3 linked regions of the Oryctolagus cuniculus genome follow. The main gene of each other region encodes a partner of the protein of the gene in region 3 in a complex. Links are inferred from orthologs where the notes say so. Each region holds a gene or a part of one and is shown on either strand. Other genes may lie near its edges.

Evidence for each region. The genes of interacting proteins can lie anywhere in the genome.
Region 1: UXT (region 3) and ASDURF share a complex: the UniProt entries of both Homo sapiens proteins name them as parts of the PAQosome complex. The link is inferred for Oryctolagus cuniculus from reciprocal best matches to the Homo sapiens genes UXT and ASDURF.
Region 2: UXT (region 3) and PDRG1 share a complex: the UniProt entries of both Homo sapiens proteins name them as parts of the PAQosome complex. The link is inferred for Oryctolagus cuniculus from reciprocal best matches to the Homo sapiens genes UXT and PDRG1.

What each region holds. Positions count from the first base shown.
Region 1 is NC_091434.1:50,691,748-50,695,769, forward strand, and holds the start of ASDURF (ASNSD1 upstream open reading frame protein), read right to left. Parts: upstream 2,806-4,022; 5' UTR 2,608-2,805; coding exon 2,518-2,607; intron 1,063-2,517; coding exon 1,009-1,062; intron 1-1,008.
Region 2 is NC_091442.1:25,802,954-25,807,122, reverse strand, and holds the start of PDRG1 (p53 and DNA damage-regulated protein 1), read right to left. Parts: upstream 2,806-4,169; 5' UTR 2,662-2,805; coding exon 2,575-2,661; intron 1,392-2,574; coding exon 1,316-1,391; intron 1-1,315. UniProt on the Homo sapiens protein: May play a role in chaperone-mediated protein folding.
Region 3 is NC_091453.1:33,164,711-33,168,978, reverse strand, and holds the start of UXT (protein UXT), read left to right. Parts: upstream 1-1,462; 5' UTR 1,463-1,490; exon of another isoform or gene 1,491-1,667; 5' UTR 1,668-1,676; coding exon 1,677-1,774; intron 1,775-2,696; coding exon 2,697-2,778; intron 2,779-2,951; coding exon 2,952-3,019; intron 3,020-3,291; coding exon 3,292-3,399; intron 3,400-4,268. UniProt on the Homo sapiens protein: Involved in gene transcription regulation. Acts in concert with the corepressor URI1 to regulate androgen receptor AR-mediated transcription. Together with URI1, associates with chromatin to the NKX3-1 promoter region.

The sequences.
Region 1 (4,022 bases), on a different chromosome or scaffold from region 3:
AAACTCAAGATATGATCTAAAAAGATGTCAAATCTTTGAATCCTACTACTACATACTTGTAAACTTTGGGAATTTACTTTAGTAAATACAGATAACAAAGAGACAAATAAAAGTTACCAACCATCCTGCCACCCAGACACTATTATCATTACCAGTGAGGTGAAACTTGTTTTTTTCCCTTGTAAACCATAATACCACTGTTATTTTAATAAAAAAGGCTTCTACTATCATCTATAGTTTTACAATGACTATATCAAGAACACTTTTTCTTATCAATATGTATTCCTTTATAATATCATCGTATGACATACTACATTTATTTGCTCAATCCTCAAATGTTAGACATTTAAGGTATTACTGTCCCTCAAGTATTATAGATCAGTGTTGTGATGGACATCTTTGTAGCTGGCAACAATATCAGAAATGTCTAATCTGTCAGTTATAATCTTTAGGCGCTTGAAAGAGCTCAAAGTCATTTACTCCTGAACATTAAAATGTAATTTTAATGTAGTTTAATGTATAACTACACATGAAGCAACAAAGATGGCTTGCTTATGAATATATACACAGAAATTGCATTTAAAAATAATGCTAAGCACTGAGAAGATTTTGGGGGGGCGGTGAGAGAAGTAATTTTTTGTTCAACATTTACTTTAAGGGATAGTTTCTTCTCAATAAACTTTAAGTTCATTTATTTCAAAAATACACACCAAATTCAAGCATAAAATAGTTACATTAGTGGTACAGCTTGAAGATACCAAAATCCAATCTGCGTCATTAGCTTTAAAGGTCGTGTAAATGGCATATGAAAAGGAAGAGACATCTTCAGCTTTATGAGATCTATGTACGTACAGTTTAAAATAAACGTAGGCACTGGGCTTTTGCAATTTAAAGAGATGCCGAAAACTTGTCAACCTTTATATAAACCTTCCATACAACTTTTATGATTTTATATAATATAAATATAACCAAGCTTCCCACATACTATTCAGAATTTCTATAACTCACCCTGTTCTTCTTCAGGTTAGAAAGTTCATCCACAACGACTTTTTGTTCTTTAATCTACTGAAATAAAGAGAAACGCTTAAAACAGAATTTTAACTCTTAAAAACATGTTCAATTAGATGACGGCTTTAAAATTAGGCAGATGGCGTAAGAAGGTATCATGCGCTGATTGTCCAAATGGGCAGTCTGAGAAGATTCTTTCCAGTCTATGTGTGCACAGGTGGAGGGGGAAATGGGCATTAGACATCTAAATGTCACACAACCCACGGAGCCCAGCCAGTGGGTTTGATGTTGGCAACCGGCCTTCATGCCTGTGGCCACAGTTACTGAACAAGGCCTATACAAACAGACGATATGCACCAGAAGTAATACCAGTCTCTGACGATTTGTGTACTAAATGGTGCGGCTAGACAGTCCTTTTAACCAAGTAGTTCTAAATCCCCCTGTCTTGGCATCAATCTTCTTTGCACAGTGCTGGCTTCACTTTTCAATTTCAGGAGAGAACTCAAGTAAGTGCAAACTTTCTGATACTTTCTAGTAACTGGCTATTTTATGAACACGATCTATTACCTAACATCACCAGCGCCTCTAAAACCAGATGTAAGATTTTTACACTGCACCACACACTTGAGGGATCTGCCATAGGTCGGCAGCAGAGTGGGCTGTATTTTGCAAATTCACTCCCTGCCCCATGAGTCTCCCCCTTGTTGTCTCCAGAGCTGACACAGCTGCAGAAGGGACAGGATAAGGCTGACTTCCAAGGTTGAAACTATACCCTCCCCCTCTTTGAGACTTAACGCTTGTACCACAGTGCTTTCTTGTGCAGTTTAGGGATGTCAGGTCTGTATTTCACTTCCCACCAAAGAAGGAAGCTGTGATGCAGAGAGAACAGAGAGGTCTGTCCAAGACACCACTACTAGCTTGGAGCAGAACCAGTGAAGAATGCAGGACATTGAACTCCCTCCTCCACACGTTTAAAGGTTGCACCTGTTTCCGGCAGTTCAGGTCAGTATCAGAGTGGCTCCCCTCCCCCTCTTTCTCCGCAGATGAGTGACAATCAGATGTGCGAGGTTTAGGGCGGCCACTGCGGCTACAGCGGGGAACAGAGAAGGCAGCAGGTGGGCTAGGGAGCCCTTTGCGGGGGTCCGGGGCAGCCGATGAGGGCGGCTCGTTCAGGGACGCAGGAGCGTGCGTCCTCGGGACTAAAGTCACACTCGTACCGGAAGTGGGTTTCAGGTGTAGACCGACGTCAAGGATGAGCCCATGCCGCTGGCAGGGGTAACGGAAGGGGTGAGCTACAGATCTGGAAGGGCCGCGGAAACTCAGCCCACAAGACGCTTAGCGCGACTACTTCCAGGGAAGGGGAAGTGCCGACTGCTACCAACAGCAGAGCAGCGCAAGCCGAGGCCGTCTCCAGCGAAGCCCCGCGCTGCTCGCGGCCGGCCCTCTCTGGGTTGCCCCAGGCGCCGGGTCCTAAGCCCGGGAGGCCTGCTCGCTGCGTCCCACGCCCACCTTGTTGCAAAGATCCTCCTTGTGTAAGGTCCGGCCGCCGGCGGGGACCGGCACAGCGCTGTCCTCCGGGTGCACGCCCCGGCCGGGCATCTCCAACCAGCCGCAGACACGCAGGATTCACCAGAGCTCCCGAGAGTCCCACCACCGACCGCCCCAGCCACAGCGCCGGCAGCGTCACCTGCCTTGCAGAGGTCTCACCAACCTCCTCCGCGCGCTCACTCCAACGCCTGCGCAGTCCGGGCCTGACGCCCCCGCCCCCTCGCCAAGAGCGGTTCTACGCATGCGCACAAATGCCTAGAGCGCCAGTGTTTCGAGCCCGGTTGCGAAATCTAAGCAATTCATACGCCGACCCCCAGCGGATCGGAGGTAGAAACACTTTTGTGGGCTCTTGGACTACAAGTTACACGCGCCCCCTATTGGTGCAAATAAAGAACAGACGCGCAGTAGAAACACCAATTAGTTATTAACCAGTCAGATCCTGAACTAAAGCACAGATTTCATAGACACAATGTTGGCAACCGAACCCTACAGAATTGGAAAAGTTTTTGTTAATTTGTAACTAGGGTTTTCAGCTAAATACAATTTTATACGAATTTCAGGTGAATGAATACTTTTATTAGTGTACATCCTATGCAATATTTGTAATGTCTCATTCTTGCAAAAAAAAAAATGACCAAAAGTTGGAAATAGGCAAGAGATTACCTGATGTTCTTTCAGTGCTGTTCTAGGATTGACTTTCAATGAACTGAACTGTTTTACAACCTGGTGCAGGCAGGGGACAAAAGCAGAGGCAAACGTGTGGATTTTTGACTGGTAAAAATGCTAATAATTTCTACTAGGTCAATAAGATACTTCCAAGGTTATGATTTATTATCTGGAAGACATTAATCAGTTATGTATGTAACACTGAGGTCCTGTCTGACATTTCTTGACTGATAAATTCCTTGCTTTTCAAATGCTCTTTGAATTGATTTTCATATCTGACTGGTTTCCTCATTTACTAATGAGTTAAATAAAACCATGATATGTGTTTATTTTATATTTGCATATGAGACCACATATTTGAAAATTATATTCCAGTGTTGGGAATCACGATGTTCTATGGAGATGCTTAAGTGCACTTATGAGATGTAGACAAATTGTGTGACTTAATAGATGTACTTGGTGGCTTTTTTTAAGCCCTAGCATATCTTTCATCGGGTCTTCTAGTAAGAAAAGTTATATGAGGTCTGGACTGGTAAATTTTTATGTTTCTCCATGTATCTGTCTATCTGAAATTTAGAACAGGCTTCTTTATTTTTTTTTAATTTCTTTGACAGGTAGAATTATAGACAGTGAGAGAGACAGAGAAAAGGTCCTTCTTCTGTTGGTTAACTCCCCAAATGGCCACCATGGCCGGTGGTGTGCCAATCCGAAGCCAGGAGCCTTCTTCCTGGTCTCCCATGAGGGTGCAGGAGCCCAAGCACTTGGGCCATCCTCCACTGCCCTCCCAGGCCACAGCAGAG
Region 2 (4,169 bases), on a different chromosome or scaffold from region 3:
CCACTGGTTCACTCTCCAATTGGCCGCAACGGCTGGAGCTGTGCTAATCCGAAGCCAGGAGCCTGGAGCTTCATCTGGGCCTCCCACGTGGGTGCAGGGGCCCAAGGACTTGGGCCATCTTTTGCTGCTTTCCCAGGCCATGGCAGAGAGCTGGATCAGAAGTGGAGCAGCTGGGTCTCGAACCAGCACCCATATGGGATGCCAGCACTTCAGGCCAGGGTGTTAACCCACTGCACCACAGCACCGGCCCCTCAAATAAATAAATCTTTTTTTTTTTTTTTTGGACAGGAAGAGTTAGACAGTGAGAGACACAGAAAAGTTTTCCTTTTTCCGTTGGTTTACCCCTCAATGGCCGCTAAGGACAGTGCATTACAGCCGGCGCACTGTGCCGATTCAAAGCCAGGAGCCAGGTACTTCTCCTGGTCTCCCATGTGGGTGCAGGGCCCAAGCACTTGGGCCATCCTCCACTGCACTCCCGGGCCACAGCAGAGAGCTGGACTGGAAGAGGGGCAACCGGGACAGAATCGCCGCCCCAACTGGGACTAGGACTAGAACTCGGGGTGCCGGCGCCACAGGCGGAGGATTAGCCTAGTGAGCCGCGGCTCCGGCCATAAATACATCTTAAAAAAAAAAAAGATCAGAAATGTGCTGGAGGTGTCACAACAGGCAGGAGACGCACGGGTTTGGAGCTCGTGAGAGAGAGAATACTGGACAGTTGCGGGGTGGACGCTGGGCTACACGGGGTCTTACAGGATGACTCTGGATTTTACTTCCGTGCCAGGAGAAGCAACGGGAAGGCTGTACACATTGCAGCGCCCTTCAAACAGAACACAAACTTCTTCCCTTGGCCCCTCGGCCCTTCATCACGGCGGGGTCTCTGCTCTCTCACCCGCCCTGCCACCCCCTGAACTCTGGCCTCACCTACAGAGCTCTGCTTCTGAGATACTCAGCACCCGCCCCACGTCCAGGCCCATTCTTAGCCGCCTCCCGACTTGCACCTACACGTCTTCTGCTGTGTTTCTCACCAGAGTACAAGGGCAGCGGCTGTCGCCTTGATGGACCCCAGCGCAGTCTGCCACAGCTGATGAGGAGCTGGCAGCCCGCCACTAAGGCGCCCAGCGGGAATCCCCGGCCAGGCTGTGTCAGCACCCACTAGGCTGCGTCCACATCTGCGGCCTCCCGCCTGGTCTCCACCGGGGGCACGATGAAGGCCTCTATGGAGGTTTCATCTAACTGATACGTCACAATTATACAAACTATGGGATAAACGCGTTTCCATTCGGTACAGGGCGGCGGGCAGGAAGTCTCCACTCACCAGAGCCGCTGAGCTCCTTCTGCAGGGCCCTCAGGCCCTCTCGGTTCTGATTCCTTTTGGTGTCCAGGTCCACAATCTGCAAAGCACAGGGACAGGGGCTCTCAGCTACCTCCTGCCCAAGCTGGCACATCCCGACAGACACGGGGCTGCTGACGTCTTTCCCCTCCTAAACACAACGCTGTGCCCAGGTGCCGCCCACCCCACAGGGGCTGGCAAATGTCTGCTAAGTGGGCGATTCTGCAGTAACTAAACCAGAATCACCAGGGGCATCTGACGCCTCCCCACACTCTGATTAAGCAGGCCTAAGCAGCTCGGGTGCTGGACAAAGTACTCCCGCTGACTCCGACTCGGTATGGTGAGAAAGCACCACGCTGGCTGCTAAGCAGTGAGGAGGCGGGGGTGCCCGGCTGGGCTGGCGAGCCGGAGCACAGCACACCGAGGACTCCTGCTGGGCACCGCGAGCTGGGCACTTTCATCTTCCTATGTGCTCCCCTGAACAACCGTCGGGAGCACCTGCCACTGTTCCTCTCGGCCCGCACGCCGGAGGCAGTACTCAGCCCGACTCCTCCCCAGGTCTTCCCTCTCTCGGTAAACACAGGACCAGCCACTCAAGCACTACCTGAAGACGACAGGGAGTCGCGGACCACTCAATTCCCACTTCCTCACCTGCCACTGCCTCCTGATCCATCCACTTCGCCAGCACCAAAACCTGGAGCGGCAAACGCCCCTCGCTGGTCTCCTGGCCTCCATCCTCGCCCTCCTATAATCCGCACAGCTGCGGGAATATCCTAAAGCCTAGGTCCAGCTTTTTACCCACCCCTTCCCCGTGAACTCTCTTTAGAAGCGTGGCACTTAAATCAGAACCCGACCCACGCCGCCTGGGCAGGCCTGCAGCGCCCTCAGCGACCAGGGCAGCCCCCGTGACCTCCTCTTTGCCCTTCTTCTCCCCTCGGGGCCTTGACCGGCCCAGCGCGGCCAGACTCGCGGCGAGGCGCGGGAACTGCCTTTTGAAACAGGTGCTCGAGAAACCGGCCCGAAGCGGTAATGGGTCAGGACCCGGAGGACACGCTACGGGGCAGACAGGGACGGAGCCAGACTGAACGCCCACTTAACGCCAGCCAGCGTCCGACTCACGTTACCACGGCCGCCCGCGCCTGTGGTGGCGGAGCTCAGGCCACCGGCCCGGGTCCATCCACGGGCCCCGCGCGCTGCCCTACGCGCTGGCCGCCGGGCCCCAGCGCCGCGGCCCGGCCTCCTACCTGCCGCTTGTCCGCCAGCACCTCCTCCGCGAGCTCCTCCACCTCCACCAGGTACTGAAGCACTCGCTCCGCCTCGGGGGACAGCATGGCACCCGGCAGCTACCACCGCAGTTCAAACGCCACCAGGTTCAAGCTCTGCTCCGGCGCCGATTCGACTCCTCCGCGCACGCGCCGTCCGGACAGGGCTTCCGGCGCGCCTGCGCAATCAAAAGAAGCACTGTGGCGCGCTGGCTCCGACGCACGCGCGTTGACGGAACGCCAGAGGCGGGGCCTCTCTTTGAGGAGCGCGTTTGGAGCGCCCCCTGCAGGCCCAAAGAACACAATCGGCAGAGAGCGCTGCCTCCTACCCTTCCCGGTCCTCCCCGCTACTAATATTTCCTATGCACCCACTAGATGCCAGGCAGTTGGCAGTGAATAAAGAAACTAGTGGGAAACACTGACAAATAATTATACGCCATGGTGGGTAGTGGTAAAGGCTTTGCAGAAGTGGAAGTCAAGCCCGTGTGGCAGTGGGACTTATGTTTAACCTGAGACACCGTCATCTTCCCGGTTATGAATAAAGAGGCCTAGGAATCCCCTCATGGTCTTCGGAGGAAGCAGTGAATTTTTTTTTGTTTGACCCGTGTTTGTTGAATCCCTCTGTTGGGTCCGATGTCCAGAGTTGCTGACCTAGACATAAAGGAGGGGCTGGAAACTATGGGCAGCGACCCTTGAAGCTCCAAGTCAGAAAAGAGGTCTGCATGCACTGGACAGTGAATTGGTGTTGGGTCATGGGATCCAGGAGGGCACCCAGAGGAGGCAGGTGGGTGCAAGTGGCTCCCAGCAGAACCAGGAGGCTCCCTAGGGCTCTTCATGCCCTTCCCCTTCATGGAATGGCTGGGAAATCAGGGAAGGAAGGACTTTGAAAAGTTAACAGCAGGGTCCGGCGTTGTGGCGTAGCAGGTAAAACTGCTGCCTGGAGTGCCGGCATCCCATATGGGCACTGGTTTGAGTCCTGGCTGCTCCACTTCCAACCCAGCTCTCTGGCCTGGGGAAGCAGAGGAAGATGGCCCAAGTCCTTGGGCCCCTGCACCTGCATGGGAGACCTGGAAGAAGCCGCTGGCTCCTGGCTTCAGATTGGCGCAGCTCCAGCCATTGCGACCAATTGGGGAGTGAACCATCAGATGGAAGACCTCTCTCTCTCTCTGTGTCTCTCCTTCTCTCTCTGTGTAACTGTGATTTTCAAATAAATAATAAATCAATCTCTTTAAAAAGCATTAACAGCAGACCTGATCTAGACTCTGACCTCCCTGCCTCCCTGAATCCAGTGTAACCTTTATTCAAGAAGCAGAGAGAGACAGAGGTAGGCAGACAGAGGTTCTCTCCCCAGATGCCTTAATGAGCCAGGGCTGGGTCAGGCCAAGGCGAGGAGCTGGGAGTTCACCCCAAGGACTTGAGCCGTCACTGCTGCCTTGCTTGGTCTGCATTAGCAGGAAGCTGGTGACTCCAGCCTTTTGTTCTTGGCTCTTGGCCCACCCTCTCGGCCCCTCTGCCTTTCCTGTATCCCACAGCAACCTTCATCCAGACAGCATCCTTACCGCCCAGCGTTGTAGCCT
Region 3 (4,268 bases):
AACGAATTAAAATGTAAATTTATTCTGGTGCGAAAAACTTTTGAAAGCCATGCATACACGGAGTCTTCAAAAAGTTCATGGAAATTGCACACTATGAAGAAATTATAAATGGATTTCAAAAATTTTGAACCAAACCAATCTTATTTTTCTTTACGTTATTTATTTATTTTCATTTTATTTGAAAGTCAGACAGAGTGATCTTCTATCCTCTGGGATACTCCCCAAATGCTGGCAAAAGCAAGGACTAGGCCAGGCTGAAATAAGGAGTCCAGAACTTCATCTGAGTCTCTTACATATTTTACGGGACCCAACTATGTCAGTCATCATCTGCTGCCTCCCAGGGTATGCATTATCAGAAACCTGGATCCAAAGTGAAGGAGCTGGGACTCGAACCAGGCACTCCACCAACATGTGATGCTAGTGTTCCAAGCAGGGACTTAACCACGGTTTAATTCTATTTTCCCACAAACTTTTAAAAGAACTCTCATGTCAAAACAAAACAAAACAAAACAAAAAAAAAAAAAAACAAAAAAACTCAATGTTCCTTTTACAGTCACTTTTTCCTGAAGGCAAAGAAAAGCTTAACAAACAGGTTTGAGAATTTGGAAAGGACAACCGAACTTTTACACGCAAATTACTTGGGAAGACTTCACAAGTAAGGGTAAGGACTCTAGGCTCTAGATATGGGAATAGCATTTGGGGGTGCGAGCATCTGAATTCTCCTCTGGGCTCAGGCCAGGACTTGCTGGGTTAGATGCTAAAGATGCAAAATACAGGCATTCAATCACTTGAGTGCATACAAAGAAAAAGCTTGCCCATTTAATTAAACACACGGGATTATTCCTAAGTACAAAATAGCAGATCTTTTGCAAACGACTCAGGGACCCTCCATTTGACTAATAAAATGAGATGCTTACACATAGTATTGCCAATCTCTGCTTAGCTCCAGTCATAGATTGTGGGCCACAGAGCTGCAATCCTCAAAGAGGAATTCTAGAAAAATGCGTCTCCATTAAAAAGTTTTTAAATGCTCATACTCGTTCCCATCACCGGGAGTGAAACGCGAACCTCTCGGGTGAAGTCAAGATGTGACTTGCCTGTCCGCCTCCCAGGCTCTGCCTTTTAAATACTAAACGCTTCATTCCCTAGCTCTACCTCCACCTGTGCGTTCTACCTCCCCTGGAAACCGCCAAATCCACAAAAGCCGCGAACAGTCCCCACAGGCTCCACGCGCTGCTTGTGCAGTTTCCAATAGGCTAGTTCATTGCCAAAGGATCTCTGCTCCCACGCCCTACAGTCCTACCTGATCTCCTTTGATTCAGTAAAGCCCTGACCTTCTCTTTTTCCCCTTGGCGGGTCTTACTTCCTTTCAGGACCGCCCCTCCCCACCTGCTTATTTGGTTGGTCAGCGCGCTTGTTATACGTCATTCACCCGCGCCACCCGGAAGCCGCGGTTATACCAACCCGTTCTTATCGCCGGCGGCCCTCAGGTAAGGGCCGCATTTTGGTATCCCTGGGTGGCCGAGTCCTAGAGTTGGGAAGGGCAGAAGGCGGAACCCCCAGCAGGACCCGAACGTGCCCATTTCCCAACGTTGAGAGGGTGGAGATGACCTGCATGAGTCCATACTGAAGTGGTCAACGTGGTCTTCCCTCTGCTCATTCCCCAGGAGCCCATAATGGAGACGCCCCCTAAAGGGCGGGTGGTTGAGGCCACGGGAGAGAAAGTTCTGCGCTATGAGGCCTTCATCAGTGACGTGCTGCAGCGGGACTTGCGGTGAGTGACAGCGAGAGGGGCGGGGCCTTCAGAATAGTCCACGTGGTGGGTGGGGCGTTTAAAGTCGGGGGCCAAGCCTTCAGATTGGTGGGCGAGACGTTCGGAGCCCGTCACCACGCGCCATTCGAAGGGGAAAGGAGGAGCGACTTCCGGGGTGCGATTTGGCTAGGACGTGGCGTTCATAGGGCGTGTCTGCGCATGCGCGGTCCCGATGTTGCTTAATGGATTAAGGGCCAAATTCCAGATCCACAGTTCTGGGGTTTGAGTTCTGGCTCGGCTACCTGCCATCCGTGTAAACATCGCACCTTGCCCCTCCTTTCTGTGCCTTATAAATTTCTCAAATCAGTAAAATGAGGAAGTTTATTACGGAACCTTATTCATGCAGTGGTTGAGTTTAAAAAAGTGTGATGCCTGAAATATGTTAAAGGTTCAAGGAATGTGAAAAGCTATTATTACTAATCTGAGCAGGAAGTAAGGCTTAGACTATGAGCATCCCGAAAGGGGTGGAGGATTTTTCTAGGGTGAAGATGAGACATAGAGATTGACATTTGGGAGTAAAGTGTAATAATAGTAAGAGCTAACACGTATATAAAGCTTATCATTTGGAAGACATCATTCTAAGTGTCTTATAGTAAACATTCATTTAATCCCAGTGCCTCCGTGAGGTTAGAATGCCACTCCTATTTTGTAGATGAGAAAACTGCATATAGAACAGTTTACTTAGTGAAGTCACACCACTAGCAAAGGGTAGAACCCAGATTCAAACCCAGGCAGTCTGACCCAGTGTCCAGAATTTTAACTTCTACACTAAAAGGCCTACTTAGAGCATGGTAACTGGAGCACCTCAAAGAATCATGGTATAAGGTTTCCCAAGGAGGACAAAGCTGCCTGTTGGTCACCATTTGTACTTTTGTCCCATCAGAAAGGTGCTGGACCATCGAGACAAGGTATATGAGCAGCTGGCCAAATACCTTCAGCTAAGAAATGTCATTGAACGACTCCAGGTAGATATATCATGGTTGGGTACTGTTTTTTTTTTTTTTTTTCATTTGGTTTTGGTATGTGTGTGATGGGGGGAGCATGGGAAGGAACTGAGAAGAGAGACCCTAGACCAAAACCTGTCACCTGACCTACAAATTGACCACTGACCCCTACCTCTTTTTCCCTGGCCCCACAGGAAGCTAAGCAATCGGAGTTATATATGCAGGTGGATTTGGGCTGTAACTTCTTCGTTGACACAGTGGTGTGAGTGTCTACCCGCCCTTCTGAGCCCTTCCTTCATGCAAGATATTTTTTTTTTACCATCTTCTATGTACCAAACACTGTGCTAGATTTTACATACCTTAGGACATAACCTAAGTACTGGGAATATGACAAGAAATAAAATAGAATAAAGTCCCTGTCTTCCCAGAGTCTCAATTTGGGGAAGGGGAGGGAGTAAAAAATTAACTAAACTGTATGGTATGATAAACAGTAATAAGGATGTCTTCCACTTCCTCTAACCTCTCTCTCCTCAGCTCAGATACTTCACGCATCTATGTGGCCCTGGGATATGGTTTTTTCCTGGAATTAACACTGGCAGAAGCTCTCAAGTTCATTGATCGTAAGAGCTCACTCCTCACACAGTAAGTGCATTCTTGAAGGTAGTATCTAAAACACCCCACCATTTTTTTAAAGAATTTATTTATTTTATTTGAGAAGTAGAGTTACAGACAGTGAGAGGGAGAGATAGGGAGAAAGGTCTTCCTTCTGTTGGTTCACTCCCCAGATGGCTGCAACTGCTGGAGCTGCGCAGATCCAAAGCCAGAAACCAGGTGCTTCTTCCAGGTCTCCCACGTGGGTGCAGGGGCCCAAGCACTTGGGCCATCTTCTATTGCTTTCCCAGGCTATAGCAGAGAGCTGGATTGGAAGTGGAGCAACCGGGACTAGAACTGGTGCCTATATAAGATGCCGGCGCCACAGGTGGAGGATTGACCTGTGCCATTGCATTGGCCCCAACACCCCACCATTTTCAACACTCTTCTCCCTTAAGTTAGAGACCTACCTCCGTTCCTCCTCTGGGCTGTAGCTGAGGAAAGGGGATGCAAAGTTCAGCCCCAGGTATAGCACATAATAAACACTCCAGTAAGGGAGCTTTGTATCATTCATTCACACAAACATATTGGGCATCTTCTGTTTACCACACTCTGTGCTTGACAGTGGAGATGCCCCAGGGAACAAGACAGAAGAGTTTCTTGAGAGCTTACATTCTAGAGGGACTGTATTATTAGACCTAAATACAACTATGACCGGATCCATGAGGCCTCAGCCTGTAAATCAGTAACAGTAAAACAGGTTACCTCTAATTTAACATGTTCATTTTCCTGCTCATTGCTGTGCTCTTGCCACAGTGACTTGCACATGCTGCTTTAAATGTCCCAAGAATGCTCTCACCTCAGGGCAGATGCCATGGCTGTTTTCTCTGCTTGCAGTGCTCTTTCCCCAGTACTCCTGT